Ovis aries: one gene and its partners. The protein of the gene in region 2 binds, or shares a complex with, the protein of the main gene of each other region. Links are inferred from orthologs where the notes say so. Each region holds a gene or a part of one and is shown on either strand. Other genes may lie near its edges. The genes, in order: TBP, TAF13, TAF5, TAF7 and transcription initiation factor TFIID subunit 9-like.

Region 1 (6,807 bases), on a different chromosome or scaffold from region 2:
CAGGATGGAATGGTAATACCGCTTGTCCCAACAATGTGAGAAGAATTAAGGAAATGCATAAACAGTGCCTGGCGCGCGGTAAGCAGTGTTAGCTATTCACAAACATGTGGAATGATTAAAAAAAAAAAAAAAAAAACAGGTGGCCTGCTGCCATCTTTTGAAGTCTTTTCACATTTGTCACAAGAACTATAGGTAAATTTGGACCCCAGAGGACCTCTCCTATGGTTCAGTTCAGTTCAGTCGTTCAGTCGTGTTAGACTCCTTGTGACCCCATGGACTGCAGCACGTCAGGCCTCCCTGTCCATCACCAACTCCCAGAGCTTGCTCAAACTCATGTCCATCGAGTCGGTGATGCCATTCAACCATCTCATTCTCTATCTTCCAGTACTCCTGCCTTCAATCTTTCCCAGCATCGGGGTCTTTTCCAATGAGTCACTTTGTCCCATCAGGTGGCCAAAGGATTGGAGCTAGAGCATCAGTCTTTCCAATGACTATTCAGGACTGATCTCCTTTAGGATGGACTGGGTTGATCTCCTTGTATTCCAAGGGACTCTCAAGAGTCTTCTCCAACACCACAGTTCAAAAGCATCAATTCTTCAGTGCTCAGTTTCCTTTATAGTCCAACTCTCACATCCATACATGACTACTGGATAAACAATAGCTTTGACTAGACAGACCTTTGTTAGCAAAGTAATGTCTCTGCTTTTTAATACACTGCCTAGGTTAGTCGTAGCTTTTCTTCCAAAGAGCAAACGTCTTATAATTTCATGGCTGCAGTCACCATCTGCAGTGATTTTGGAGCCCAAGAAAATAGTCTGTCACTGTTTCCATTGTTTCCCCATCTATTTGCCATGAAGTGATGGGACCAGATGCCATTATCTTAAGTTTTTTAAATGTTGAGCTTTAAGCCAACTTTTTCACTCTCCTCTTTCACTTTCATCAAGAGGCTCTTCAGTTCCTCTGCACTTTCTGGCATAAGGGTGGTGTTATCTGTATATCTGAAGCTACTGATATTTCTCCCAGCAATCTTGATTCCAGCTTGTGCTTCATCCAGCCCGGCATTTCACAGGATGTACTCTGCACATAAATTAAATAAGCAGGGTGACAACATACAGTCCTGACATACTCCTTTCTCTATTTGGAACCAGTTTGTTGTTCCATGTCCGGTTCTAACTGTTGCTTCTTGGCCTGCATACAGATTTCTCAGGAGGCAGGTAAGATGGTCTGCTATTCTTATCTCTTTCAGAATTTTCCACAGTTTGTTGTGATCCACACAGTCAAAGGCTTTGGCATAGTCAATAAAGTAGAAATAGATGTTTTTCTGGAACTTTCTTGCTTTTTCAATGATCCAGTGGATGTTGGGAATTTGATCTCTGGTTCCTTTGCCTTTTCTAAATCCAGCTTGAACATCTGGAAGTTCTCAGTTCAAGTACTGTTGAAGCCTGGCTTGGAGAATTTTGAGCATTACTTTGCTAGCATGTGAGATGAGTGCAATTGTGCAGTAGTTTGGACACTCTTTGGCATTGCCTTTCTTTGCGATTGGAATGAAAACTGACCTTTTCCAGTCCTGTGGCCACTGCTGAGTTTTCCAAATTTGCTGGCATGTTGAGTGCAGCACTTTCACAGCAGCATATTTTAGGACTTGAAATAGCTCAACTGGAATTCCATCACCTCCACTAGCTTTGTCCGTAGTGACGCTTCCTAAAACCCAGTTGACTTCACATTCCAGGATGCCTGGCTCTAGGTGAGTGATCACACCATTGTGGTTATCTGGGTCATAAAGAGCTTTTTTGTATAGTTCTTATGTGTATTCTTGCCATCTTTTCTTAATATCTTCTGCTTCTGTTAGGTCCATAGCACTTCTGTCCTTTATTATGCCCATCTTTGCATGAAATGTTCCTTTGGTATCTCTAATATCCTATGGTTCATTTAGGCATAATTGCAGGTTGTAATGCTTGTTAGCTTGCTTCCTTTGTGCTTCACATAATCAATGAGGTTGTGTGCTCCTTAAGGATAGGAAAGATTTTACAGAATTTTTGTATCCAAGACAGTACCTGAATAAATACAATACTTCTCTGTCCATAACCATCAAAGAAAACCCTTTCTTTTATGCTTTGTTTACAGTAAAGTATAGGAAAAGTTTTAATTAAAAAAAGTACTTTTCAAAAATCTTTTTCTGCTTCCAGAATTGCATGTATATATCAGGCAGTCCATTCTATATTAGTCAAAGGCTTGCTTGCTTTTTTTAATTAACATTTTTAAATTGTAAAATATGATATTCATATAAAGAAGTATGTAAACATGTATACAGATTAATAGATGGTATTAAATCAAGTAAGGGCAGTACATAAACCAAGAACTTCCGGATGTACAAGCTGGATTTAGAAAAGGCAGAGGTACCAGAAATCAAATTGCCAACATCCATTGGATCATAGAGAAAGCAAGGGAATTCCAGGAAAACATCTACTTCTGCTTCATTGACTTCACTAAAGCCTTTGACTGTGTGGATCACAACAAACAATGGAAAATTCTTAAAGAGATGGGAATACCAGACCAGTTTATCTATCACCTGAGAAACTTGTATGCAGGTCAAGAAGCAACAGAACCAGACATGGAACAATGGACGGGTTCAAAACTGGGAAAGGAGGACATCAAGGCCGTACACTGTCATCCTGCTTATTTAACTTATATGAAGAGTACATCATGCAAAATGTGTGGCTGGATGAACCTCAAGCTGGAATCAAGATTTCCTGGAGAAATATCAACAACCTCATATATGCAGATGATACCACTCTAATGGCAGAAAGCGAAAAGGAACTAAAGAGCCTCTTGATGAGGATGAAAGAGGAGAGTGAAACAGCTGGCTTAAAATTCAACATTCAGAAAATGAAGATCATGGCATCCGGTCCCATCACTTCATGGCAAATAGACGGGGAAACAGTGGAGACAGTGACAGATTTGATCTTGGGCTCCTAAATCACTGCAGCGACTGCAGCCATGAAATTCAAAGACGCTTGCTCCTTGGAAGGAAAGCTATGACCAACCGAGACAGTGTATTAAAAATCAGAGACATCACTTTGCTGGTAATGTCTGTATAGGCAAAGCTGTGATTTTTCCAGAGTTATGTACAGATGTGAGAGTTGGACCATAAAGAAGGCTGAGTGCCAAAGAATTGAACTGTGGTGTTGGAGGGACTCTTGAGAGTCCCTTGGACAGCAAGGAGATCAAACCAGTCAATCTTAAAGGAAATCAACCCTAAACATTAATTGGAAAGACTGAAGCTGAAGCTCCAATACTTTGGCCACTTGATGCAAAGAGCTGATTCATTAGAAAAGACCCTGACGCTAGAAAAGAATGAGGGCAGGAGAAGGAAGCCTGGAGGAGGGGGGCGGGGGGCAACAGAAGATGGGATGGTTGGATGTGATCAACACAATGGACATGGGTTTGAGCAAATTCTGGGAGATAGTGAAGGACAGGGAAACCTATCGGGCTGCAGTTTATGGGGTTGCAAAGAGTTAGACACGACTTAGCGACTGAGCAACAGCAACCAAGGGCTCCTCTGGTGGCTCGTTGGCCAAGAACCTGCCTGCCAGTACAAGAGACACGGGAGATGGGCGTTCGATCCCTGGGGGAGGAAGATCCCTTGGAGGAAATGTCAACCTGCTCCAGTAGTCTTGCCTGTAAATACCCCATGGACAGAGGAGCCTGATGGGCATAGTCCGTGTGGTCGCAGAGTCGGACACGCCTGATCTACTGAGCAGGCAAACATTAAATCAAGTAAAGAAACCCAGTATTGCTAGCACTACAACCTCCAACCCATCCCTAGCCAAGGAGGACCTTTCCCTCTAGCCAAAGTCAGTTAATTTGCTTGCTTTTGCACATCCACATCCCTCAGTTGCTTTATCCATTCTGCAGTTTATGGATATTTAGCTCATTTCCAGTTTGGGGCCATTAAGAACATCTTTATGAACATTCTTTCACGTCTTCTGGCCAGGGTACATACCTCGGCGTGAAACTGCTGGGTCATGATGTGTGTGTATTTTCAACTATGTCAAGTAATGCCAGTCCCTTTCCGAATTTACACTTCAATAGACTCTTCGAGTTTCCGTTGCTCCATAGTTTTTCCAATGTCTTTGTAAGCTCAGACTTTAAAATTTCTATCCATCACGAGTGATTTCGAATATTTGCCTGGAAAAGAAAGCCTGTACCTCACTGCCAGGTCTCTTCGTAGAGCAGGCAATAGCTACCGACTGGAAAGGGAGGGCTCTGGCCTCCAGGAGCAACGACTGGCGCGAGATAGAGCGGCCGGAGGCAGCGCCGCGGAAACCGGAAACGGCACAATTTCCGGTCGAGGCAGCCATCTTGCCGTGAGACAGCAGGAGAGCAGCCGCGGAATGTTGTCCTCCGTTGCCTCGTACTCGGGCGCGGGCCGAGACCTGGCCATGGAACCGCACAGCTCCGTGGGCCCTTTGCAGCTGCGCTTTTCGCCCTACGCTTTCAACGGAGGGTAAAACCCGCAGAGCCGCCGCTTTCTCTTTCTTCCTCCATATCCCTGCTTAAGTCTGTCTGCCCGGCGCTGCCCTTCCAGTCTCAGGCCTCCCTCTCCGAGGTTGCTCGGCTAGCTCTTGTTCTTCAGGGCTTCACCTTATAGGCGGGTCACTGGATCTTGATGTGGATGGCCAGCTTTACGTAGACAGCAGATAGAAATTGACACCTGACCTCCGCTCTGAAGAGCTTTAAAAATGGACCTGTCTGAATGTGCTTCTCTAGCCAGCAGGCACGGGGCAGGTTGAACATCTGAGATTAAAAGTTAGGGTTGATTGGCCATGTGATTAAATATAGCTGTCTAGCGAAAGTGAAGTCGCTCAGTCGTGTCCGACTCTGCGACCCCATGGGCTGTAGCCCACTAGGTTCCTCCGTCCATGGGATTCTCCAGGCAAGAATACTGGAGTGGGTTTCCATTTCCTTCTCCAGGGGAATCTTTCTGACCCAGGGATCGAACCCAGGTCTCCCGATTGCAGGCAGACGCTTTAACCTCTGAGCCATCAGGGAAGCCCTGTCTAGCTAATAGGTCTAATCAAATCACCATTTTGAGTTGTTTTAAATAGCAGGTAGGATTACTTGCACAGACTTAGTTTCATTGATCAGTGTTTAGTTTTAAGGGCTAGCGTAAGTTCAGGGGAAAAATACTCAGAAGGCGGACCTTTGAATGTGTGTATTCTTGCATGTTGTATGTGAGCTTTTCTTTCTTTTTAACTTACCCGCTTTATCTTAATACTTTTCCTTGACAGTGCACTGAAAGAACTAGGGTTGTGGAAAGGCACTCTCTTTAGGACTCTTCACTGCGAAGAGCTGTGTATTTAAGCATCGTTTATAGTTTGCCAGCCAAATTTTGTACTTTGAAACGTACACACCAAATTAATCTGGTAATCTTTAAGGACCATCCAAAGACCAGATTAATTACTCAGGTCTTATGGGTTTGAAATTTTAATGTAGATTTTTGGGGTATTTGCAAAGAAGGTGGAAGTGTGATTTTAGCCTTGTCTCTGACACTAAAGAGCAGTGTAGTGTTTGGTACCTACCTCTCAGCTCCTTGAACCCAGATTTCCTTATCTTCCTTAGCTACTCATAGTTTGAGAGAAGAATCAAAAGAGAAGCACTTTGTAGATTGAAAGCAGGTATCTTTTTAATCCTCATGATGACTGACTGTTAGATGATATATACCTCAATTTTACAAATGAACCTGGGCTCTTAGAAGTTTAATTTTGTTAGTCATAGCGCTGGTGTGAAGTTGAACCCCAGGACTTGAATCCATACCTGTGTTGCTATGAAGTTGATGAATGCTTTTATCATCGCACTTTTAAATATTTCCTGTGACAACTAATGAAGTGGTGGGATCACAAAATGAGTTATTAGACCCATTTCATGAGACAGTTGCAGATTCTGCTTGAGACTATAAGGTATTCAGTGTTTATTACTGTCTAACCTTTGTGATCTAATCACTGCTCCAAAGTTAGTGCTTATGGCTTTCTGACATTGAATTCCCTTATCTTAGTCTGTGTCCTTTTCCTTTAACATCTATTGCTGCCTCTTGGGCAGCCTTTGCTTCTACAAAATAAGACTCGGTCCTGTGTCCTTCTCGTCTGACTGACTGTGGTCAGACTCCAGGTGACTGGCCTGTGCACGTGCCGCTGAGCACTTCAAGGCCACACCATTCGGCTCGCCAGCCTTTGACAGAGGGACTGCTGACAGCGCCAACTTGGCGATTTGTCCAAGGCCGCAGAGCTGCTAGTGGCACGGGCAGGCTTTGGGCAGCTTCAGAGTCCAGGTTCTCGGTGATCATGCTTAGGCCAGGGGGATCATAGCTAACACTTAACTGGAGGACCAGTTGTGTTTCAGGCACTGGTATAAGGCTTAACAATTTAGTCCGTTTAATGCTCGTAACACCTAACTAAAGTAGCGATTGTTGTGATCCCTGATACGTGCTTGAGGACAGCGAGGCCTTGAGAAGTGAAGCAGTTGACTATCTCATATTTTCTAAGCAAGAGAACCAGACTTCGAACCCACACAGTTTGCTTTTAGAGCTCATCCTCTCGGCCTCCACTGAACAGAGCCACAGAGGGGAAAGATTGTTCTTTGTTGGTCCATTTTCCAACAGATGCTTGGGTGTCTCCTGAGTGCAAGACAATTTTATAAGGACTTGGATATAAAGAAATTAAAACCATTAAGCCCCAGGACCCCCCTTGTGGTCCAGTGGTTAAGACTGCCCTTCCAAAGCATGAGACACGGGTTTGATCCCTGGTGGGG
Region 2 (5,566 bases):
ACTGGTTCCAAATAAGAAAAGGAGTATGTCAAGGCTGTATACTGTCACCCTGCTTCTTTAACTTATATGCAGAGTACATCATGAGAAACGCTGGGCTGGGAGAAGCACAAGGTGGAATGAAGATTGCCAGGAGAAATATTAATCACCTCAGATATGCAGATGATACCACCCTTATGGCAGAAAGTGAAGAAGAACTAAAGAGCCTCTTGATGAAAGTGAAAGAGGAGAGTGAAAAAGTTGGCTTAAAGCTCAACATTCAGAAAACTAAGATCATGTCATCTGGTCCCATCACTTCATGGCAAATAGATGGGGAAACAGTGGAAACAGTGGCTGACTTTATTTTTCTGGGCTCCAAAATCACTGCAGATGGTGACTGCAGCCGTGAAATTAAAAGACACTTACTCCTTGGAAGGAAAGTTACGACCAACCTAGACAGCATATTAAAAAGCAAAGACATTACTTTGCCGACTAAGGTCCATCTAGTCAAGGCTATGGTTTTTCCAGTAGTCATGAATGGATGTGAGAGTTGGACTATAAAGAAAGCTGAGCGCCAAGAATTGATGCTTTTGAACTGCGGTGTTGGAAAAGACCCTTGAGAGTCCCGTGGACTGCAAGGAGATCCAATCAGTTCATCCTAACAGAGATCAGTCCTGAGTCTTCATTGGAAGGACTTATGTTGAAGCTGAAACTCCAATACTTTGGCCACCTCATGCGAAGGGCTGACTCATTTGAAAAGACCCTGATGCTGGGAAAGATTGAGGGCAGGAGGAGAAGGGGACAACAGAAGAGATGGTTGGATGGCATCACCGACTGAATGGACATGAGTTTGGGTAAACTCTGAGAGTTGGTGATGGACAGAGAGGCCTGGCATGCTGTGGTTCATAGGGTGGCAAAGAGTCGGACATGACTGAGCAACTTAACTGAACTGAATCCCCAACTGACTGCAGAAAGGACATTTAAGGTGGTGCTTAAGGTTAAATGAGGTCATAAGGGTGGAATCGTTATCCCACAGAACTGGTGGCCTTATAACAGGGAGGAACAGAAGAGGTCTCTCTCAGCCATGTGAGCACAGGGAGAAGGCAGCTATCTGCAGTCCAGGAAGACTCCTTACCAGTACCTGACCTATTGGCACCCTGATCTCAAGACTTCTAGTCTTCAGAACTGTGAAAACATAAATTTCCATTGTTTAAGCCAGCCACTCAGTCTGACATTTTTGTTATGGGAGCCCAAGCTGACTAATACAGGCACCCAGTGTAACTCCACTCTGCCGGTTACCACCAGGTCATTCTTCAGGGTCAAGCAGACTCTGACTAGCAAAAATAGTAACATACTGATCTTTTATTATTCCACGCTCAATCTTGATTTCAGTTTAAAGTAGATTTTTAACTGGTTTTTGCTTTTTCAAATAAAAATATCAGGCCAGGTATCTTGAATCTCACAATCAATTCAGGAGCATTACAAGAATAATACAGAAAAAAAAGTTTTTAGTGAATTATAAGGGAGAGAAAAGCTGATAAATCATATAGTCAAACTCAAGCAGTAATCTTTTTAATTTTTCATCCTTTATTCTCTACATTGATAGGTTAAGAAAGTGAAACCTTCCTAAATACTGATTCATAGACAATGCTTATAAGCGGCACACGAAACAATCAGTTTCACAAAGAGTAATATCCAGTGATCCCTTTAAATGCAATTTTAATCCTTACTTTCAGCTAAGTGCAATAATACAATGAGCTAAATACACACAAAATTTGTGAACTACAAAAGTGGTTTCCATAGCCACACATGGTTTTAGTCAAGTATACATTTTCAGAATAAATAAATACTAACAAATATGTTAATAAAACACTACCCGAAATGCTTACCTGCCATCAACTTTTCAGCAATGCCATTCCTGCTACTGAAAGCACTTTCTGAAGTTTTAATCTGACCTGGGAAAACGAGTTCTTTTAAAATCTGACAAACAGTATATTATAAACCCCAAAGATTTTTAATCCAGTATGTCTTTCAACACAGAACCATTCATAGGAAATTCTTAGTTTCTCAAAAAATAAAAAAAATCACTCTTGTTATCCAAAGAAGAGTATTAAATTATCTTAAGACAAATAAACACTCCTACAAAAGACTGTACTTTCTAATATTGTTTTCTCCTTAAAAGAAACACAAACCAGTTCACCATCTTTTAATAACTTACAATACTTTGGTCTAAAAGCTTTAGAAATATATGAAACACATCTTAGCTATCAAAGTCAAAGGTGCCATTTAGATTTCACAGATTAAACAGCTATAGTACAACCTACAATGGCACAAGTATACATAAATATTAATTCATCATTGAGATGGTCAAGAGTCAGAGGAAACTGAATGGTTTGCAAACCAAAGGTACTTTGACTTACATGTGGTCATTAAAATCTAATATGTCATTCAAGTAGGGTAATATAATGGCAGGCAATTAAAGGCTCATATATCACTCTAAAATTGAAAACATGAAAATAAAGCCTGAAAACTTTGTGGTTCTCCATTTTTCATTCACATGGTTAGGTATCAGGGCCTTACTGTGGAAAATACAGTTATTAAGTATGGTTTCCCCAGAACATAATGAAGCTTCAGAAAAGATGTCAAGATCCATAGTTTGCTTCATCAAATGCTTTTCTAGCGCGTTTCAATTCTTCATTCATAGTAAGCAAGTCTTTAACCCTAGCAAACTTTCTTGGGTCCTTTCGAATCAAGAAGACGATATCTTCAACTTGTACCCGACCTTGTCTTCCAATTGACATTGCCTTATGAGTCTATTACAAAGAAACATATTAAATTCAATTAATTTTTCAAAAATCTAACATTTTATTTTTTTAACTATAATGCTGGTGAGTTTGAAGACTTCTCTTCTAATTATTATAGCTATTCATTTGTGAATTGTCTTTCTATTAATGTTCTTTGTCCACTTCTACCATTATTAGCAATGTTTCAGTGCTTGACAGACATTTTTTACACTAAAGTCATTAAAACTATCAAATCCATAGATGCTTCTTTTTGTATTTTGATATACATATAGTTGATCTTCATTTGTATAAAATGATTTTGTAATTTCTCTGTAACCACCCACTTCATTTAAACTTTGTGTCCATCTTGGTAGCTAATAAATATTGGTGGCTTTTCTTTAGACAAATCTCATCCCCTATGATTACATAATCATACTGTGTAAAACAAAAAACTCCTTGCAGCATTATTTCTAATGACTGAAAAAAAAGAAACTAAATATTTAATAAGGCATTGAACAAATTTGAGTACATCTAGCCAATTAATATTATGAAGCCATCAAAAATATTAAAAGTATTCTGCAGTGACACAGGGAAAGCAGGCTCTATGACTGTATGTACTACATGATTTCAATTTTGTAAAGTTTTAAAACGTGTAAAAAGACAAAAGAATATTCACAAAAATCTCAGCATCAGTTATCCCTTGGTAGAAGGGTTATAGCTTTCTATTTTCTTCTGGGCACTCTTTAATACTTTCTAAATTTAATATAAGCATATATAAAATAAATTTAATAATACTTTCTAAATTTAATATAAGCAGAAAAAGATTTTTTAAAATGCATACTCTCTGACCCAGTAATTTTACTTCTATTATTCTTTATGAAGGAAATAATCTAAAACAAAGGGTAAAAATTCACAGGAACTGAACACAGCCAAACTCCGTATACCCATATATATACATGTATATCTCTCTCCATCCTTAATGATAAACGGTAACCAGAAACTTCCACAAAACAGGCACTCGAATAGTTTTTCAAAAGTATGTCACAGTTCTATTCTAAAAGTTAGAATTTCAAATCCATTCCTCAGTTAACGAAGACCAATTAAAAAAAAAAGTCTTACCATTTCAGTGATGAACTCTATGACAAGGTCTTCAAGAATATCTACTGATTCAGTATAAGGATTCTGGTCATCTCCAAACCCATACATCATACACCGTACTGTAAAAAGAACAATCATTTTTGTTTACTTAAAAGAACTTGACTTATACTTTTTTCATATTAGAATTGAACCAAGGTATAGAAGATATTGGTATAAAAGTATATTTACATTATATTTGTTGTCTCCAAGTATGAATTTTGGTGTGAAAGGTATTAACCACTAGCTCATAACCAACTGTTCTTACCTAGCCTTCCCTAGGTAGAAACTCCCCTTGTCGCCTAGCTACTGAGCCCTGATATCAATATTCTTCCCTAACCTCTATTATCTACTCATCAACAACCCCAGAATACCTTTAAGTAGGAATCTTCTTAGCAGGAAAAGGGTGAGTAGCAATGGTTTAGCTGTTTTTGGGGGGAGGAGGGCTGGAAAAAAGAAGGCAAAATCCTTTATGATACAACTATAAGGAAAAGGACATAAGAGAAAGCTCCAATTACCTTCTTCCAGGAAGAACTGGTTAATCAAAAGGAGATAGCAAGAGCTTATAATACAGAATCTTGACATTTTATTCCCTGGATCAAAGCAACTGCCAGCGAAGCCCTTTTAGGCTTCATAGAAAACACAAAAGAGAAGAAAAGTATAATACGAAGTAATAAAAGTAACTGCTAATAGGTAAACCCCTTCATGGATCACTGTCTTCTCGTGGTGAAAGGGCTTTTATACCTCAATAAAGCTGAGTCATGCACACAGGGCCACGCAAGACAGATGGGTCATAGTGGAGAGTTCTGACAAAACGTGATCCAGTGGAGGAAAGAAAAGCAAACTACCACAGTATACTTGCCATTGAGAATTCTGTGAATTGTATAAAAAGGCAAAAAAGATATCACACCGAAAGATGAGTCCCCCAGGTTGGAAGGTATCCAATATGCTACTTGGGGAGACAACTACTAATAGCTTCAGAAAGAATGAAGCAGCTGGGCCAAAGTAGAAACAATACTCAGTTGTGGATGTGTCTGGTGATGAAAGTAAAATCCAATGTTGTAAAGAACAGTATTGCATAGGAACGTGGAGTGCTAGGTCCATGAATCAAGGTAAACTGGACGTGGTGAAGCAGGAGATGGCAAAGAGCAAACACCAACATCTTAGGAACCAGTGAACTAAAATGGATGGGAAAGGGCGAATTTAATTCAGATGACCATTATATCTACTACTGTGGGCAAGAATGCCATAGAAGAAATTGAGAAGCCCTCATAATCAACAAAAGAGTCCAAAATGCAGTACTTGGGTGCAAGCTCAAAAACAATAGAATGATCTTGGTTTGTTTCCAAGGCAAACCATTCAATATCACAGTAATTCAAGTCTTTGCCCCAACCATTTATATACCCCTTACTACGTACGTGCCAGCCATTATTGTAAGCTCATTTAATCCTCATGACAATTCTTTGAAATAGAAACCACTATTATCCCCATTATATACAGATGAGAAAATTGAGGCACAAAGTTAAGTAATTTACCCAAGGTCACACAGCTAGTGAGACAACTTGAATTTAAACTCAGAGGATCTGGCTCCAGAGTCTATACTCCTACCCAAAACAGTTACATTTCTTAGCAATTTAGAGCAGACAGGATCCATATGGGTTCTTATCCTATAG
Region 3 (6,860 bases), on a different chromosome or scaffold from region 2:
ATACTGTTTGGGGTTCTAGTCACTCTCATGTAATCTAATCCTAACACAGCTTCATACTGCTCTTAGTAGCAGCAGCAGTGCGTGTATGCTTAGTCGTGTCCAACTCTTTGCACCCCCATGGACTGTAGCACACCAGGACCTCTGTCCATATGATTTTCCAGGCAAGAATACTGGAGTGGGTTGCCATTTCCTCCTCCAGGAGATCCTCCTGACCCAGGGATTAAACCTGTGTCTCCTGCATTGCAGGTGAATTCTCTACTGCTCTTAGAAGCAAAAATAAAATTTTTATTTAGGCAGCTATTGTTTGATTTTTCAGTGAATCTCAGCCAAATCTAATCCCACCCAATATGACTAACTACTGATCTTAGGGTAAACAAAGACCCTCAACATGGCCTAAGAACCTGCCTGTCCCAGCCACTAACCAACCATCAAGCTTCATGTAGTACCAAACCCCACCCCCCATACTCTGCTCCAGCCACACTAGCCTTCTTTCACCTCGGGGCCTACCATGATCCTTCCTGCCACAGGGCTGTCACACAAGTTTTTCCCTTTTCTCTTCCTCTGGTTAACTCCTCTCCAGCCTTCAGATCCTATCTCAAACATCACCTCTAGGAGCCTTTCCTGACTTCAACAAGATCAAACCCTTCATTTTAAGTTTAGCAGAGGCACCAGGTACCTCTCCTTCATAAAGTATTTTTCGAGTTGCAATCTGACATTTGTGTAGTTACAGATGTATATAAACATTTTGTGTGTGTGTGTATATATATAGCTATATATACATATTTTTTATAAATTCACATACTTCTCAAAGAATGATTTTGCTTCATTCTCATGTTGATTGTAGACTAGTTCCAAATACATGTGTACAAATAGGGGATAAAAGAGTTGGGATAGTTCTGCCCGATGGCAGTCCAAGGAACATTCAATGAAGTGTTTCAGTCCGCTATAGTATTCTTCATACATCGTGGGGTCTCCCTGTTGGCTGTAGGCTGAGAGCACGGCACTGACATCTGGCTGGTCTTCCACAGCTACACTTCCAACTGTTTAAAAAATGAAAAATAACTTCAAGAAAATGACCTGACAAGCACCAAAAGACTAAGGCTGTTTTGTTAAGGTCCAGAGGAGAACTGTTTCACAGATGTTTGTCCCTCTCCTCTCAAACACTCTTCCCCGACACAATCACAAAATCTTTTAATGGGATTCAGTTTGTTTCAGTTACCCATCCAACACTTCCTTGGTTTGTCCACATCTTAAAATAAAAATTTTCAGATCAACAGCAAAAAGATTCAGCATTTTTCCTAGAGCTTCACTATTTTAAAAACAAATTTTATAAAACATGGTATGTGCAAATCAAACAACGGTATTACTCTTCTCTCAAGGCTCAGTGCAAATGGCACTCACCACCACAAAGCCATGCCCTGGAGTAACATTCCCAGCCCTCTGAGCTACCTGAGTATTTTATAACTTTTCAGCAACATATCTTATCCTGTGTTACCTTCACGTATGTCCATCTATCACTCCCTATAAAATACAACCATGTTAATGGTGGGAAGAACTTGCCTTTTATATTTCCAAAAGATAAATCTATTTTATATGCTTAAAACAATTTCCATAACCACCATTTCAAGGCAAAAAGCATGAGTATTTATTTGTAATATTTCAATACCAAACAACGATACATCTGTCAATCAAATGAGGGTTTGTGGGAAATTTTTTTTAAGTTGTGATTACAGTACTGTTATGCTCTTTACTGCACAAATTTTCAGTTTTTTTGGTTACTATGATGGCCTCTTTTCCTTTCTATTGGTTTCTCAGTTACAATCTGAAGGTCAAGTTTCTAAAGAGATGAGAGATTATAGCAAAATAATCAACCACATAATTCATCCATCTTATAGTTCATTCCCAAATTCAGATTCAAAAAAGATTCCTCTCAATCACATTTGCACACAGTTCTACTTATGGGTTACAGCGCTTATTCATACCTCACTCCTGGAAATGCTGCCAAGATTAGGTCTCATAAACACAGGTTAATTTGGCAAGAGGCTCTACAATGGGTAATTTAATTCAATAAACATTTTTTACTGGCTCAGGATCACCTTTGAAACTTTATGTTGTATATGACTTTTACTGCATGGACTTTTTGACAACAGTTGCTGAAGGAAAAGGGGAGCGGGAGCCTCAGGTGTCAGGGATAGGTACTTGGCATAAACTTGTCAGTGCCAGACATTTTACATATATATGAATCTCACAATAACCCGTTTAATAGAAGGAAAAAAACTCTCAAGCTTAGGAAGAGTAACAATCAGCATCACACAAGTAAAAGCAACAGAGACAGAAACTGAAGTCCAATACCTGTTCCTAAATGAATGGGTCTCAAACCTTGCCATAGATCAACATCTCTTGGAAGCATTTTTTTTTTTTAATCCTTAGAATATTTATTTATTTTTGGCTGCGTTGGATCTTACTAGCGGCTCCGAGGATTTTTCCTTGCCGCATGCGGGCTCAGTAGTTGCAGAGCGCGGGCCTAGTTGCCCCACGCTTGAGAGATCTTAGTTCCCTACCACGTTCCCACATGCCCTACGTTGGAAGGCAGATTCTTTTTTTTTTTTAGTTTTTATTTTTTAAATTTTAAAATCTTTAATTCTTACATGCGTTCCCTAACCACTGGACCACCAGGGAAGTCCCTGAAGCATTTATTTGAAAATGCAGATTCCCAAACTCCACCTTCACAGGATCTGATTCACTACGTCTGAAGTGATGCCCAGGAATCTGCATTTCTCTAAAAGATTTGATACCAATGGTATTTAGCCTATATTTTGAGAAAGACTGGCTTCACTATGTACCACCACTCTCTGGCTGTGCGGTCCAAAGCAAATACCTTGGCCTTTCTCGGTCTGGTTTCTCATCTCTAAAATAGAAGTACTGTCTACCTCACAGTGGAACTGTGAAAATTAAGATAAACAACACAAAATATTTATAGTAAAAGTACGCTAGTACAAATAATGTTGCTGCATCCCTGCCCAAAGCTCAAGAGCCCAAATAAGAACCAAAAGCCTGGAAGTTCCCGCCTCTCCGCGCCCACCGTCCCCATACATCCTTCGGCTCAATAGCTCTCCACAGCCTCTCGCTGGAACTGACAGCTCGGAAGAGGGTTTGACTGCGCAGCCGGCGCACTAGGGAAAGGGGCGGGCATGTGGCCCTAGAGGCGGGCCCAGGAAATTCAAAACAAGCCCGCAGAGGTGCAGGCCTGCCAGCCTCTGCCTTCCCGGCTCACTCCCCGCCGTGCCGGTCCTGCCTACCCCGGACCCAGCGGCTCACCTTTACCCGGAGCCACAGAACCTGTCGCTAAGCCCGAGACGGCGGCGGACCCCGAAGCGCCGCTGACTGGAGGATCCGGGGCCGAAGGGCCGGGCGCCGAGGCGGTGACCCGGCTAAGAAGCGCGCTGGCTGTCTCAGCGCCGGCGCTGTCTGCCTCTCCCGGGGCTCCGGAGCCCGCCACTGCCTCCTCCAGCAGCCGGGCCTCACGGCGCAGCGCTTCTTCGGCCTCGCGGAGGTTGCTCTGCCGTAGAAACTGCAGCACGGCGAGCAGAGTCTGTCGGTCGTGGGGAGCGCTGGCCTCCGGAGCAGCGGCGGGCACCGGGGCCGCCCCCGCCGGTGCAACGGCGGAGACAGCCACCGAGGGTTTGGGGGTCCCACCATCCCCGCCGGCCGACGACGCCGCCGCAACGTTCCCGCCGCCGCCGTTGGGGCCGCTGTTGGTTGTGCCGCCGCCACCTTCGCCAGCGCCGTCCCCCGCCTGCGGAGGTAGCAGCGTCGGCGGTCCCTCAGGCTCTAACTTCACCGCCACCTCCGTCTGCTCCTCTGCCAGCGCCGCCATCTTGCGGCTGAGCCACCTCGCGCCGTCAAGCGTGATTGCGTTTTCGCCATATGGAGGGCGGGGAGGAGCGTTTTACGACATCTCTGGAGGGCAATTTACGGCAGTAGGAGGGGCGATAAAGAAGGAGAAAAAGGAATCGCAGCAAGAGCAACTTTCAAAAGTGAGTGGCAAAAAGGCAGGAAGTGGGACGTCGGGGCAGCCTCTTGCATTTGCCGGATAATAGTTACATTTATTACAGACCAGCTATTTTTCAGGCACTGCGATGGACGTTTTACATTATGTGACCTTTTATTCAGCAGTCATATAAAGTACCATTATTCTCACGATACAGATGACTGAATCAAGACCTAAAGACATTTTTTAAATGCCAAAGTCACACAGGAGGAAAGCGTCAAGATTCAAAACCAGGTCTTTATCTTAAAAGCATATATCATTTACCAGAAGGAGGCTTCTGAGTTACTGGTAATGTTTATATTTTTTTCTGGATGGCGGTTACTTTTCTTTTTCCCATTTATGCCTTATAAAAATTAATTGGGCTGCAAGCTCACGTTTTGTGAACTTTACGCATATATGTTATATTTCAATAAAAAGTTTTTAAGAACCTGAATTTTGTGATTGTGAAATGTGTATATGCTGTATTCGTGCTATGTTAACCATTATTACAAGCAGGCCGCATTTTAGTTGTATATTTTAAAACAGTATGTGCCATTTTGCAACATGCTTCATAGGTTTAAAAGCACTGCTGCATGTTTGAGGACTTACGTTGTGGCTCAGACGGTAAAGAATCTGCGCTGCATATTTGGTCTCCTTTGACTCTCACAACGGTATGAGATAGGTGCAGACAAGAAAAGTGAACTTGGGACATGGGGAAGATCGAGTTATGTGAGGATTAAATAAGATAGAGTCCGTGTGGTCGCAAAGAGTCGGACACCACTGGGCAACTGAACTGAACTAAACACATAATAAATAACTATTGGTTATTTTTACTGAACCTTAAGCGGTGTTCTGCAAATGTTTCCTAAGAAAGTCTAATCATGACATACATGGTGATCTCAAGACTGAAATATAAAACTAGTGGAATTTGACATAATGTAAGATTATGAAACATGGGTAGGGGCAAGGGCAGAGAGGGGGGAGGAGATGAGCATTTAAGTTGTTCAGTTTCTTGCTTTACTAGCAGTTGCACCTTCCTCTGCATCTCATTACTTTTCTCTATGAATTTGTATTTCCCGGAAGGTATCAGCTACCTTGTCTACCCAGAAGGAGAGGCTAAAGCCTAGCATTGGTAAAAGGTGAAGGATGCACCCAAAACAGGAAAACCTGTGATGTGTTGGCCCCATCACTCCCTGTTTATCAACATACATGCACACATGCACACACACATATCCTCAGAGGTTTCACAGTTTTTACTGATCTATCAATTTCAGTGCCATCTCTAGGGTTGAGTGTGATGGGAGAGGTAGCCACTGGTGTGAGTTTACAATCTTGTTCAGTTCCTAAGTTTAAATTCACAAAGCTAAGAGTGAATTTAGAGTTTGCCTCCTAAGGTAGGTAATTGCAAAACTGACCTGCACTACTCCAGGAGCAACTTAATAGTGTGGTTATTGACTACTGCCACTGAATGTACCTAGTCTGAGCTAAGGTGTTCTCTAAGTGTGAGATATGTGCTGGATTTTAAAGACAAAAAGAATAAAATGGCTCAATAATATTTTTATTGGTAACATGTTGAAAAGTATTTTTATATGAGTTAAATATTAAAATTAATTTCCTATTTCTTTTTACTTTTTTGTGGAAAGTTTTCTGGAAATTTTTATTTACATATGTGGCTCACCTTGTATTTCTGTTGAACAAACTGATCTAGACCAGGAGCTTTCAATTTTTTTGGCCATGATTCACAGTAAGAAATATGTTTAACACCAGAACCCATAACCCACGTAGGTATGTGGATATTTATAAGTGAGACAAGTTTTAACAATAATATGTATAATTATCACATTGAAATATATACTCTAATATTTGATAGTCTGTTCTTTAAATAAAATGCTCAGTATGACTGATTAAATTTATTTTAATTTAATTTTTAAATGATCTGCAGTTTGAAAACACCAGATAGTTCAGTTCAGTTCATTCACTCAGCTGTATGCGACTCTGCGACCTCATGGACTGCAGCACTCCAGGCTTCCCTGTCTATCACCAATTCCTGGAGCTTACTCAAACTCATGTCCATAGAGTCAATGATGGCATCCAATGATGCCACCCAGAGGATACCATCTCATCCTCTGTCATCCCCTTCTCCTTCTGCCTTCAATTTTTCCCAGCATCAGGGTCTTTTCCAGTGAGTCAGTTCATCTCATCAGATGGCCAAAGTATTGGAGTTTCAGCTTCAGCATCAGTCCTTCCAATGACTATTTAGCATTGATTTCCTTTAGGATGGACTAGTTTGATCTCCTTGCAGTCCAAGGGACTCTCAAGAATCTTCTCCAACGTCACAGTTCAAAGGCATCAATTCTTCAGTGCTCAGCTTTCTTTATAGTCCAACTCTCACATCCATACATGACTACTGGAGAAACCATAGCTTTGACGAGACGGACCTTTGTTGGCAAAGTAATGTCTCTCCTTTTTAATATGCTTTCCAGGTTGGTCATAGCTTTTCTTCCAAGGAGCAAGTGTCTTTTAATTTCATGGTTGCAGTCACCATCTGCAGTGATTTGGGAGCCCAAGAAAATTAAGTCTGTCACTGTTTCCATTGTTTCTCCATCTATTTTCTATGGAGTGATGGGACTGGATGCCATGATCTTAGTTTCTTGAATGTGAGTATTAAGCCAGCTTTTTCACTCTCCTCTTTCACTTTCATCAAGAGGCTTTTTAGTTCATCTTCCTTTCTGCCTTAAGGGTGGTGTCATCTGCATATCTGAGGTTATTGATATTTCTCCCAGCAATCTTGATTCCAGCTTGTGCTTCATCTAGCCTGGCATTTCACATG
Region 4 (6,852 bases), on a different chromosome or scaffold from region 2:
ATGCAAAGAAATAGAGGAAAAGAACGGAATGGGAAAGACTAGAGATCTCTTCAAGAAAATTAGAGATACCAAGGGAACATTTCATGGCCTCGATAAAGGACAGAAATGGTATGGACCTAACAGAAGCAGAAGATATTAAGAAGAGGTGGCAAGAATACACAGAAGAACTGTACAAAAAAGATCTTAATGACCCAGATAATCACGATGGTGTGATCACTCACCTAGAGCCAGACATCTTGGAATGTGAAGTCAAGTGGGCCATAGAAAGCATCACTACGAATAAAGCTAGTGGAGGTGATGGAATTCCAGTTGAGCTATTTCAAATCCTGAAAGATGATGCTGTGGAAGTGCTGCACTCAATATGCCAGCAAATTTGGAAAACTCAGCAGTGGCCACAGGACTGGAAAAGGTCAGTTTTCATTCCAATCCCAAAGAAAGGCAATGCCAAAGAATGCTCAAACTACCGCACAATTGCACTCATCTCACATGCTAATAAAGTAATGCTCAAAATTCTCCAAGCCAGGCTTCAGCAATATGTGAACTGTGAACTTCCAGATGTTCAAGCTGGTTTTAGAAAAGGCAGAGGAACTAGAGATCAAATTGCCAACATCCGCTGGATCATGGAAAAAGCAAGAGAGTTCCAGAAAAACATCTATTTCTGCTTTATTGACTATGCCAAAGCCTTTGACTGTGTGGATCACAATAAACTGTGGAAAATTCTGAAAGAGATGGGAATACCAGACCATCTGACCTGCCTCTTGAGAAACCTGTATGCAGGTCAGGAAGCAACAGTTAGAACTGGACATGGAACAACAGACTGGTTCCAAATAGGAAAAGGAATATGTCAAGGCTGTATATTGTCACCCTGCTTATTTCACTTATATCCAGAGTACATCATGAGAAACGCTGGGCTGAAAAAACACAAGCTGGAATCAAGATTGCCAGGAGAAATATCAATAACCTCAGATATGCAGATGACACCACCCTTATGGCAGAAAGTGAAGAGGAACTAAAGAGCCTCTTGATGAAAGTGAAAGAGGAAAGTGAAAAAGTTGTCTTAAAGCTAACATTCAGAAAACGAAGATCATGGCATCCGGTCCCATCACTTCATGGGAAATAGATGGGGAAACAGCGGACTTTATTTTTGGGGGCTCCAAAATCACTGCAGATCGTGACTGCAGCCGTGAAATTAAAAGACGCTTACTCCTTGGAAGAAAAGTTATGACCAACCTAGATAGCATATTCAAAAGCAGAGAAATTACTTTGCCGACTAAGGTCCATCTAGTCAGGGCTATGGTTTTTCCATCCGCCAATTATGGATGTGAGAGTTGGACTATGAAGAAAGCTGAGCAGTGAAGAATTGATGCTTTTGAACTGTGGTGTTGGAGAAGACTCTTGAGAGTCCCTTGGAATGTAAGGAGATCCAACCAGTCCATCCTAAAGGAGATTAGCCCTGGGTGTTCATTGGAAGGACTGATGTTGAAGCTGAAACTCCAATAGTTTGGTCACCTGATGCAAAGAGCTGACTCATTGGAAAAGACTGATGGTGGGAAAGATTGAGGGCAGGAGGAGAAGGGGACGACAGAGGATAAGATGGTTGGAATGCATCACCGACTCAACCGACATGGTTTTGGGTGGACTCTGGGAGTTGGTGATGGACAGGGAGGCCTGGCCTGCTGTGGTTCATGGGGTCCCAAAGAGTTGGACATCACTGAGCCACTGAACTGAACTGAACATTCTTCAACACGTTACAGAACAAAGAACTAAAGCACAATTATGTGCAAGTGCATAATTTCCCTGGAGACTTAGCATGAAAAACCAAACTGGGGTCAAGCCATTTAAATTCCACCCCATGATACGCAATATAAGTCTGCTGAAACCAAAAGGGACACATTCACATCTGCTGTTTGCAAACCTCCAGCCTCCTAACAATTTGTAGGACCCTTGACTGGAGAGGAAATGTCTATCAAGTGACTCTCTTTCATTTTAAGGCAATACAGAATGTATTTTCTCCCACAAATTATTAGAGGATTTAGATTATATTTATGTTCTTCGGATGGGTCAATTTTTTCATTGAATTACCAAATATTTCTTACGCCCCACGTTTTGATATGAGGCAATGGGACCAGATGAGCACACGGTTAGCCTTCTAATTATCATGGACCTTCCAATCTTCGGTGAGGGAGACAATAAGTACAAAATAAATAAAGTGAATTTTCTACATGTTAATCACATCTTAAGCGAGTTCCCTTAAACTTAAGATGCAGGTGTCGATATTTTAGAGAACAGAATTTTAATTTTAATGATAGTGGAACTCTACTAAATTGACCCTATTAATAAATGGAAATGAACAGAAGTGAAAACTCTTACACTGTTAGTCCAAAGTACTATAAATCCATGTTAAGAATACCTGACAACCTAAAGAGGCAAGTAGAAAAGTTAGCTCAACAGTAGGGGTGAATTTTTTTTTAATTCCAAACTAAAAAATTACTGGCAAATTAGTGGCAGGCGATAATACTTCAGTTAAAGGTTAATCAGACCATTCGTCTTTCAGACAACGGTCCTAAATGAACACGGTCCTCCCGAAGAACACTACGTTCCCTGTTTACACTTATACCTACACCTAACACATTAAAAGAGAAATCACCCTTGTTGCCTCAGGAAGTCTCCAAAACACAAACAGACCGTGAGTCACAGGCCCCCTAAGGACACTTTAATTATCAACAAACACAGAATTACATAGTGGGCAGCACGTCCTCACGCCACTGATTCGGGTACTTTAAAATCTACAGGCATGGTTAGTTATGAATTCTTTTATCGGCTCCAGATTTAAGAATATAGTCTGGGAGACTCTGAGATGTTTCCAGAAACAAACACTATTTCCGCACGGACGCCCTATCTCCAGTAATCACACGGAAGCCTAAGGAAGTAACCGGCCCCAGGCGAGCTAGTTAAAGCTCTGGCTTAGCAGAGGCAGGCGAGACAATCTTTCTTAGAATTGCTTTCTGTTTTAAACACTTTAAAGACAGTGATTGTTTTGGAAACATGATCGCTACCTTCTCCTAAAACCAAAATCTCGCGAGACAACAAGTCACGCCGAACGGCGTAATCGCGCGTTGCGCCTGCGCGCGCTGAAACGCCCTGCACTTCCGCCGAAGGCGTGCTGTCACTCACGGACTCCTCCTGTCCTGCGGGGTGACGTAACGCTTTCTTTTCCGCTAGCTCTGCAGCTCCGGACGGAGGCACGCCGAGCTGCGGAGTTGCAAAGTCTGGCGCTCGGAGCTGCGGTTCTCTGCGAGATTTCACCTTGCCAGTTCCGAGTCATTTCACCGATAATCAATAGCGGATCGCTTTGCCAAGTGCCGGGAAGAACAAAGGAATCAAGAAAGAGACGCTCTGCTCCCGGCCTTGTTCTGAGTGGCTTTTTCCGCTCGTTCCTGTCCGGAGAATCTGGATTTATAATCGTCACTGGATTGTAAGTACCCGAGGCGAAGAGAGCTCACTACGCCCCGCGTTTTGAATATCTTTGTTCCGGGAGAGTTTGTGGTTTGGGCGTATCTGCTGAGCCTTACTTTCTGTGCTGAAAATCCGTAGGAGCTGCCATTTGCTTTCTCTGCATTGTTCTGCAGCGGCATCTAGAGGTTGAAACTTGGCGTTGCAGCTAATAGATTTAAATGGACATAAACGAGTAAGACAATGCATCAGTAACAACTGGTGTTCAGTCACGGCGTTTTCAAAAAGACTTGGGACTTAATTAAAAACAGATATATAGCTGATGTTCTACCTAGAACTCTTTGTAATTAAGGATTCAAGTTTATACAGAACTGGTCTTTCTGGTGAAGTACCTGGAACTTTTTAGTGCAACAAGTGGTTATTAGAGAAAAAGTGAATTACAAAGAAATAAAAATGAGTAAGAGCAAAGATGATGCTCCTCATGAACTAGAGAGCCAGTTTATCTTACGCCTACCCCCGGAATATGCCTCTACTGTGAGGCGGGCAGTACAGTCTGGCCATGTCAACTTGAAGGACAGACTATCAATTGAGTTACACCCTGATGGGCGTCATGGAATTGTCAGAGTGGACCGAGTCCCTTTGGCCGCAAAGTTGGTAGACCTGCCGTGTGTTATGGAGAGTTTGAAAACCATTGATAAAAAAACCTTTTACAAGACAGCTGATGTCTGTCAGATGCTTGTCTCTACAGTTGATGGTGATCTCTATCCTCCTGTGGAGGAACCAGTTGCTACTGCTGATCCCAAAGCAAGCAAAAAGAAGGATAAGGACAAAGAGAAAAAATTTGTTTGGAACCATGGAATTACTCTGCCTCTGAAAAATGTGAGAAAGAGAAGATTCCGTAAGACAGCAAAGAAAAAGTATATTGAGTCTCCAGATGTGGAAAAAGAAGTAAAGCGGTTGCTGAGCACAGATGCTGAAGCTGTCAGTACCCGCTGGGAAATAATTGCTGAAGATGAGACAAAAGAAACAGAAAATCAAGGCCTTGATATCTCTTCCCCAGGAATGTCTGGCCACAGGCAGGGCCATGACTCCTTAGAACATGATGAGCTTCGGGAGATATTCAATGACCTCAGCAGCAGCAGTGAAGATGAAGATGAAACACAACATCAAGATGAAGAAGATATAAACATCATAGACACTGAAGAAGATCTGGAAAGGCAGCTACAGGACAAACTAAATGAATCAGATGAACAGCACCAAGAAAACGAGGGAACCAATCAGCTGGTTATGGGAATTCAGAAACAGATTGATAACATGAAAGGCAAGCTCCAAGAGACCCAGGACAGAGCAAAGAGACAGGAGGATCTCATCATGAAAGTGGAAAACCTGGCTCTCAAAAACAGATTTCAGGCTGTGCTGGATGAACTGAAACAAAAGGAAGACCGGGAAAAGGAGCAGCTCAGCTCTTTGCAAGAAGAGCTAGAATCACTCCTAGAGAAGTGAGGAGTGGTTTCATACTTAATTTCATTACTGTGAGAGGTCAGCATTGAAAGAGAAAATTTTTTTTGTTTTCATTGCTTGTAAAACTTTGCAGTTCGCAGTTTCTTCCACTGTCTTCTATTGGATTTGTCTTGTAGACAAATGTGAACTTCTATCTCATTTGTCTTTTGGAACCACTTTGCTAGGTGTTTATCCCATAGGAAGTAGGAATGTATAGACAGATAAATGTGGAGAAGTTGTAGGATTAGTGGAGTGAAAAGTTCAACTTTGTTATTAATCACAGCTTCATTGCAGGACTTTGTGGCTGTTTCTCCGTTTAGAAGCTTCCATTGCTACTCTGTGATGACATCTGAGGTAAATCAGTAGAGTCTAGTCTGGAGGCAGTAAAGTTTGTTTGCATATGTTTTTTGATGCTATAGCTAATTTTCCAGCTATTCAAAGCAATTTTTTCGTATTTTTGCATTGCAAGTCATTTCGTAACGTTCAACAATAAATAAAAGCAAGTTAAGTTTCACTTTATAATGTGTCTTGCTCTTTTAGGGGTAATGGATATTATCCTCTTCTGAAGTGGTTTCCTGGTGGGGTTTAATATATTGACCAATTGGATTCTGTTTTGTAGGAAAAGAAGCAGTTATGTTCGATTTTAAGAAAAGAACACAGCAAGGGCAAAGAAATCAGGCAGTATCACCTGCTCCATTTGGAGGTTAGGAAATAAAGAGCCTTCCTAAACTATCTGAATGTTTTTTCCAGCCTAATCTCCCATTCTTCCACTGTTTTCAATCCTGAGCTTATTTACATTTTTTTCAAGGAGTTTAATTACTCCTCTTCCTCTATAATAGTCTAATGGGATAAGTACTCTTATGCACCTGTCATACCAGAGTCTAAGTTACCTGTTGCTCATATCCTTACTAAGCTGTTAATTCACTGAGATTAGGCATTTTGCCTTGTTAGTCACTGTAAAGAAGAGTAAAGCAGTTAAAAATCACAAGGTCAGGTGATGTAGTGCCTGAGTTGAGTGATCTTGGGCAAGTAAATTAATCTGTTTGCTTCAATTTCCTCATTTCTAAAGTGGAGGTGATAATATCATCTACCTCGGGACCTTTGATTTTGGCTATTGACTTAATATAAAGGATTTGAAAACAATTTCTGGAATAGAAACAAATTATTGCCTATTTTCTAGGCAGGGTACAAACGTTACAGGGATTACAAACGTAATAGGGATTACAAACTTCAATGAAAGTGATCAAAATGGTAGAAAAGTGTATGAAGAAACTTTTAAATGTTGACTGATTTCAAATTAAAGAATCTAAATCAAAGCTTAAACTACAGCAGAAACAAAGTTTGTTTCCAGTACATACATCTACAGCATAAGCATACTGAGTTTACTGTAGCTTTTTTTGTTTGATTTATTTATGGTTTTGCATAAAGCCTCCATAATGAAGAGTAATTATCTGTTACATAACTTCAAAAGAGAACAACTTAAGATCCATTTCCCTTCATGTAAACCCAGAGTTTCCAAAAAAGACTCACTTTTCTCACAGCTCCCTTGTCTGATGAGTGTGATATATAGTTGGGCTACAGTTTTCAATATTTCTCTGAGTTTGTGAACAGAAATTGAATTTTAAAAAAAAGTTTAAAAGAAAAAACTCACTGAAAATTTTAAGCAATGCAGAAATTTTACAAATTCTTAATTTTACTCACTCCCCTATTACTGGTCACTTAGGTTGTTCTGTTTTAAATTTGCTATTACACAGAATGCTGCAATAAGCATATCACTGTGGCCTCCATTTTTCATTGTATTTATAGATTAGGTACATGGGGATCTTTATGTTCAGTTCTAAATGTCATAAAGCCTAGACATTTTGAATTTATAGATCAAATGTTTGAGATGAAAAATTG
Region 5 (5,877 bases), on a different chromosome or scaffold from region 2:
TCAACAAAAAAAACCAGGAGCTGACTGTGGCTCAGATCATGAACCCCTTATTGCCAAATTCAGACTTAAATTGAAGAAAGTAGGGAAAACCGCTAGACCATTCAGCTATGACCTAAATCAAATCCCTTATGATTATACAGTGGAAGTGAGAAATAGATTCTAGGGACTAGATCTGATAGACAGAGTGCCTGATGAACTATGGATGGAGGTTTGTGACATTGTACAGGAGATTGGATCAGGACCATCCCCATGGAAAAGAAATGTCAAAAAGCAAAATGGCTCTCTGAGGAGGCCTTACAAATAGCTGTGAAAAGGAGAGAGGCGAAAAGCAAAGGAGAAAAGGAAAGATATAAGCATATGAATGCAGAGTTCCAAAGAATAGCAAGAAGAGATAAGAAAGCCTTCTTCAGTGATCAATGCAAAGAAATAGAGGAAAACAACATAATGGGAAAGACTAGAGATCTCTTCAAGAAAACTAGAGATACCAAGGGAACATTTCATGCAAAGATGGGCTCGATAAAGGACAGAAATGGTCTGGACCTAACAGAAGCAGAAGATATTAAGAAGAGGTGGCAAGAATACACTGAAGAACTGCACAAAAAAGATCTTCACGACCCAGATAATCACGATGGTGTGATCACTCATCTAGAGCCAGACATCCTGGAATGTGAAGTCAAGTGGGCCTTAGAAAGCATCACTATGAACAAAGCTAGTGGAGGTGATCGAATTCCAGTTGAGCTAGTTCAAATCCTGAAAGACGATGCTGGGAAAGTGCTACACTCAATATGCCAGCAAATTTGGAAAACTCAGCAGTGGCCACAGGACTGGAAAAGGTCAGTTTTCATTCCAATTGCAAAGGAAAGGCAATGCCAAAGAATGCTCAAACTACCACAAGATTGCACTCATCTCACACGCTAGTAAAGAAATGCTCAAAATTCTCCAAGCCAGGCTTCAGCAATACGTGAACTGTGGACTTCCTGATGTTCAAGCTGGTTTTAGAAAAGGCAGAGGAACCAGAGATCAAATTGCCAACATCCGCTGGATCATGGAAAAAGCAACAGACTTCCAGAAAAACATCTATTTCTGCTTTATTGACTATGCCAAAACCTTTCACTGTGTGGATCACAATAAAGTGTTGAAAATTCTGAAAGAGATGGGAATACCAGACCACCTGAGCTGCCTTTTGAGAAATCTGCATGCAGGTCAGGAAGCAACAGTTAGAACTGGACATGGAACAACAGACTGGTTCCAAATAGGAAAAGGAGTATATCAAGGCTGTGTATTGTCACCCTGCTTATTTAACTTATTTGCAGAGTACATCATGAGAAACACTGGACTGGAAGAAACACAAGCTGGAATCAAGAATGCCAGGAGAAATATCAATGACACCACCCTTATGGCAGAAAGTGAAGAGGAGCTAAAAGCCTCTTGATGAAAGAGAAAGAGGAGAGTGAAAAAGTTGGCTTAAAGCTCAACATTCAGAAAATGAAGATCATGGCATCTGGTCCCATCACTTCATGGGAAATAGATGGGAAACAGTGGAAACAGTGTCAGACTTTATTTTGGGGGGCTTCAAAATTACTGCAGATGGTGACTGCAGCCATGAAATTAAAAGACACTTACTCCTTGGAAGAAAAGTTATGACCAACCTAGATAGCATATTCAAAAGCAGATATATTACTTTGCCGACTAAGGTCCATCAAGGCTATGGTTTTTCCAGTAGTCATGTATGGATGTGAGAGTTGGACTGTGAAGAAGGCTGAGCGCTGAAGAATTGTTGCATTTGAACTGTGGTTTTGGAGAAGACTCTTGAGAGTCCCTTGGACTGCAAGGAGATCCAACCAGTCCATTCTGAAGGAGATCAGCCCTGGGATTTCTTTGGAAGGAATGATGCTAAAGCTTAAACTCCAGTCCTTTGGCCAGCTGATGCGAAGAGCTGATTCATTGGAAAAGACTTTGATTCTGGGAGGGATTGGGGGCAGGAGGAGAAGGGGACGACAGAGGATGAGATGGCTGGATGGCATCACTGACTCGATGGACATGAGTCTGAGTGAACTCCGGAATTTGGTGATGGACAGGGAGGCCTGGCATGCTGCGATTCTTGGGGTCTCAAAGGGTTGGACATGACTTAGCGACTGAATGAACTGAGCTGAACTGATGCTGAAGCTTCAATAATCTGCCTACCTGATGTGAAGAGCCAACTCTTTGGAGAAGACTCTAATGCTGAGAAAGATTGAAGGCCGGAGGAGAAAAAGGTGACAGAGGATGAAATGGTTGGATAGCATCACTTACTCAATGGAGATGAGTTGAACAAGCTCTGGGAGATAGTGAAGTACAGGGAACCCTGTTGTCCTGCAGTCTACGTGGTTGCAAAGAGTCAGACATGACTTAGCGACTGAATAACAATAACAACAATGTAGTATTTGGTTACTATTGACCTTCTGATGACACCTCAAAAGGAGGCATATCCACTTTATGTGATCCCAGATCACTGAGACATGATGATGTGGATGGCTGGATATCTAGAGCAGACAATGTCAATCACTAAGGATCCTCAGAGGGATGAAGCAGGACAGCAAAAGATTTCATCACATTCCTTGGAATGGCAAAGAATTTAAATGTGAATTGTTTGTTTCTGGAATTCTCGTTTGATATTTTCAGACTGTGGTTGACCACAGGTAAGTGAAACTCTGGAAATAAAAACTGTGGATAAGAGGAAACAACTGTATATAAAATATGATATATATTGCAGTATATTGCAGTTCCTTGGACTGCAAGGATATCTCACCTGTCAATCCTAAAGGAATATTCACTGGATAGACTGATGCTGATGCTGAAACTCCAATGCTTTGGCCACCTGATGCAAAGAGCCGACTCATTGGAAAAGATCCTGATGCTGAGAAAGATTGAAGGTGGGAGGAGAAGAGGATGACAGAGGATGAGATGGCTGGATGGCATCACTGACACAATGGACATGAGTTTGAGTAGGCTCCTGGAGTTGGTGATGGACAGGGAATCCTGGCATACTGAAGTCCATGGGGTCGCAAAAAGTCAGACACGACTGAATGACTGAACTGAGCTGATATTGCAGTAAAAACGGATGAATACAAGAATATTTTCTTTATCAAAGATAAAAAGCATGATCGATATGCTAGGAACTGTTTCCTAAGTTATTTCCTATATTAACATGTTTAACTGATATATAAAAATACAGTGAAATATTGAAGTATTATTACCTCCATTTTGCATAATGAATTATTATTAGCTCCATTATTACCTCCACTGGGTATAGAGAATGTGTATAAAAACCTAATTTAAAAAAAAAAAAGCGATGTTGCTTCCGAACATCCTGCTCACCGGTACACCAGGGGTTGAAAAAACTACATTAGGCAAAGAACTTGCATCAAGATCAGGACTGAAATACGTTAATGTGGGTGATTTAGCTCGAGAAGTTTGATCACCGGATATCATGGAGTCTGGCAAGATGGCTTCTCCCAAGAGCATGCCGAAAGATGCACAGATGATGGCACAAATCCTGAAGGATATGGGGATTACAGAATATGAACCAAGAGTTATAAATCAGATGTTGGAGTTTGCCTTCCGATATGTAACCACAATTCTAGATGATGCCAAAATTTATTCAAGTCATGCTAAGAAAGCTACTGTTGACGCAGATGATGTGCGGTTGGCAATCCAGTGTCGTGCTGACCAGTCTTTCACCTCTCCTCCACCAAGAGATTTTTTATTAGATATTGCAAGGCAAAGAAATCAAACCCCTTTGCCATTGATCAAGCCATACTCAGGTCCTAGATTGCCACCTGATAGGTATTGCTTGACTGCTCCAAATTATAGACTGAAGTCTTTACAAAAAAAGGCATCTACTTCTGCAGGAAGAATAACGGTTCCACGGTTAAGCGTTGGTTCAGTTACTAGCAGACCAAGTACTCCCACGCTTGGCACACCAACCCCACAAGCCATGTCTGTTTCAACTAAAGTAGGGACTCCAGTGTCCCTCACAGGGCAAAGGTTCACAGTACAGATGCCCACTTCACAGTCCCCAGCTGTAAAAGCATCAATTCCTGCAACATCAGCTGTTCAGAATGTTCTAATTAATCCGTCATTAATTGGGTCCAAAAATATTCTTATTACCACTAACATGGTCTCATCACAAAATACTGCCAATGAAACATCAAACACATTGAAAAGGAAACATGATGACGATGATGACGACGACGATGACTATGATAACTTGTAATCTAGCCTTGACGCATGTAACTTGTATACTTGGTTTTGAATCTGTTGTACTGAGATTAAACATGCATGCTGGATATTTCCATGTTGTGTTCTAGAAAGAATAGTATTTAATGAGTAAATATGCTTACCATACTTTTTGATTGAGCTGTTGTGTTAGATTTTCTTTGATAGGATTAGTAATGGTTTCTCGTCACCCTTTAAGTGTAAAAAATAAAGTTGCAATTCGTGCATTTAAAAAAAAAAAAAGCAAATCCAGAAGACTGCATATAGAAGACTGCATACAGAATGCTACCTTATTTTACTAAAACTAAAAATCAAACAATGCTCAAGATTATGTTATTTAGGAATATATATGCAAGAAAAAATTTTCCAAGAATGGGTGTATTATATGGTTAAAAATTAAGAGAGTAATTATCTCCAGGAGATTAGCAGACCTACAGATGGGTGATAGCTTTGAAAGTATTAGCAATGGTCTAGCTCTTATGACTTTCCCGGCGGCTCAGAGAGTAAAGCGTCTGCCTACAAAGTGGGAGACCTGGGTTCAATCCCTGGGTTGGGAAGACATCCTGGAGAAGGAAATGGCAACCAACTCCAGTATTCTTGCCTGGAAAATCCCATGGATGGAGGAACCTGGTAGGCTACAGTCTACAGGGTTGCAAAGAGTTGGACACGACTGAGTGACATTTACTAATATTACTTTAGCTCTTATGACAGGTGGTAGATTCATAGTTGATGATTACAAGATGATGCTTCATAACTTTTATAGGCATTATATATAGTTTTACTTATACCAAAATTATACTTTAAGAAGTTTAGCACCTGCATTTTGTGATATTTAGATTAACTGTTCAGGGGCTATTTTTCTTATTTCCTGGTTTCCAGCTACAGTGCTTAAGAGATAGGATTACTAGGTAGCTGACTTCTAGAGCAGCAAACAAAATTATAACTTTTTTTTCTTTTCAGTCTGGGTAGTCATTCTAAACATAAATCAGTTTCAAAATAATGCTTATAAAAGAATAAATGGTCCCACTAAATGCAAAAAACAATTTGACCACTGAGAAATATGTTAACAGCTTTCTCAAATCAATATGCCAACATTATTGTAATTTCTGAATAATGGTAATAAAAACAACACTTCCAGATAGAGCTCTAACATGTAAAAAGTTGTGAAGCTATCAAACCTGTCCTTAAGACAAGAAAACATTTTATAAACTAAAACCAGTGACTTTTGTTGAACAACAGAAAACTGAATTTGTAGGGTTAATTGTTGCTCCACAGTCTGGACATGCAGGCACATTCAGAGAGACAGAAGATCTGCTTACCTGGAGCAGAAGCTGATGAAGCAACAGATAAGAGCACTTAAATAGTAATTTTGATGAACTGTTGATAGTGTGGACTAGTATAAGAGGAAATTCTGGAGATCACAGTCTAAGGGGTTCAGTACTTGTTCCATGCAGCTCACCAAGTTCTCACTGTGAAGATTCGAGAATACCTTATGGCTCTGGCAGGGCTGGGGATAGAAGAGAAATCACTGCAAAATGCATTCAGAGCACTTTCCATCAGGAAGACCTAAACTCCAGGGGAAAAGACTTTACCAAATCCTTCCCCAGCTGGGAAAGAACA

The links.
Region 1: TAF13 (region 2) and TBP share a complex: the UniProt entries of both Homo sapiens proteins name them as parts of the TFIID basal transcription factor complex. The link is inferred for Ovis aries from reciprocal best matches to the Homo sapiens genes TAF13 and TBP.
Region 3: TAF13 (region 2) and TAF5 share a complex: the UniProt entries of both Homo sapiens proteins name them as parts of the TFIID basal transcription factor complex. The link is inferred for Ovis aries from reciprocal best matches to the Homo sapiens genes TAF13 and TAF5.
Region 4: TAF13 (region 2) and TAF7 share a complex: the UniProt entries of both Homo sapiens proteins name them as parts of the TFIID basal transcription factor complex. The link is inferred for Ovis aries from reciprocal best matches to the Homo sapiens genes TAF13 and TAF7.
Region 5: TAF13 (region 2) and transcription initiation factor TFIID subunit 9-like share a complex: the UniProt entries of both Homo sapiens proteins name them as parts of the TFIID basal transcription factor complex. The link is inferred for Ovis aries from reciprocal best matches to the Homo sapiens genes TAF13 and TAF9.

The regions. Positions count from the first base shown.
Region 1 is NC_056061.1:91,732,272-91,739,078, reverse strand, and holds the start of TBP (TATA-box-binding protein), read right to left. Parts: upstream 4,253-6,807; 5' UTR 4,004-4,252; intron 1-4,003. Other genes in the region: PSMB1 (proteasome subunit beta type-1), read left to right, coding at 4,395-4,507. UniProt on the Homo sapiens protein: The TFIID basal transcription factor complex plays a major role in the initiation of RNA polymerase II (Pol II)-dependent transcription.
Region 2 is NC_056054.1:86,371,149-86,376,714, forward strand, and holds the end of TAF13 (transcription initiation factor TFIID subunit 13), read right to left. Parts: intron 3,977-5,566; coding exon 3,879-3,976; intron 2,790-3,878; coding exon 2,619-2,789; 3' UTR 1,544-2,618; downstream 1-1,543. UniProt on the Homo sapiens protein: The TFIID basal transcription factor complex plays a major role in the initiation of RNA polymerase II (Pol II)-dependent transcription.
Region 3 is NC_056075.1:23,655,584-23,662,443, reverse strand, and holds the start of TAF5 (transcription initiation factor TFIID subunit 5), read right to left. Parts: upstream 3,915-6,860; 5' UTR 3,878-3,914; coding exon 3,319-3,877; intron 1,041-3,318; coding exon 803-1,040; intron 1-802. UniProt on the Homo sapiens protein: The TFIID basal transcription factor complex plays a major role in the initiation of RNA polymerase II (Pol II)-dependent transcription.
Region 4 is NC_056058.1:50,053,728-50,060,579, reverse strand, and holds TAF7 (transcription initiation factor TFIID subunit 7), read left to right. Parts: upstream 1-3,205; 5' UTR 3,206-3,906; coding exon 3,907-4,956; 3' UTR 4,957-5,472; downstream 5,473-6,852. UniProt on the Homo sapiens protein: The TFIID basal transcription factor complex plays a major role in the initiation of RNA polymerase II (Pol II)-dependent transcription.
Region 5 is NC_056065.1:58,196,807-58,202,683, forward strand, and holds transcription initiation factor TFIID subunit 9-like, read left to right. Parts: upstream 1-3,331; 5' UTR 3,332-3,469; coding exon 3,470-4,255; 3' UTR 4,256-4,386; downstream 4,387-5,877. UniProt on the Homo sapiens protein: The TFIID basal transcription factor complex plays a major role in the initiation of RNA polymerase II (Pol II)-dependent transcription.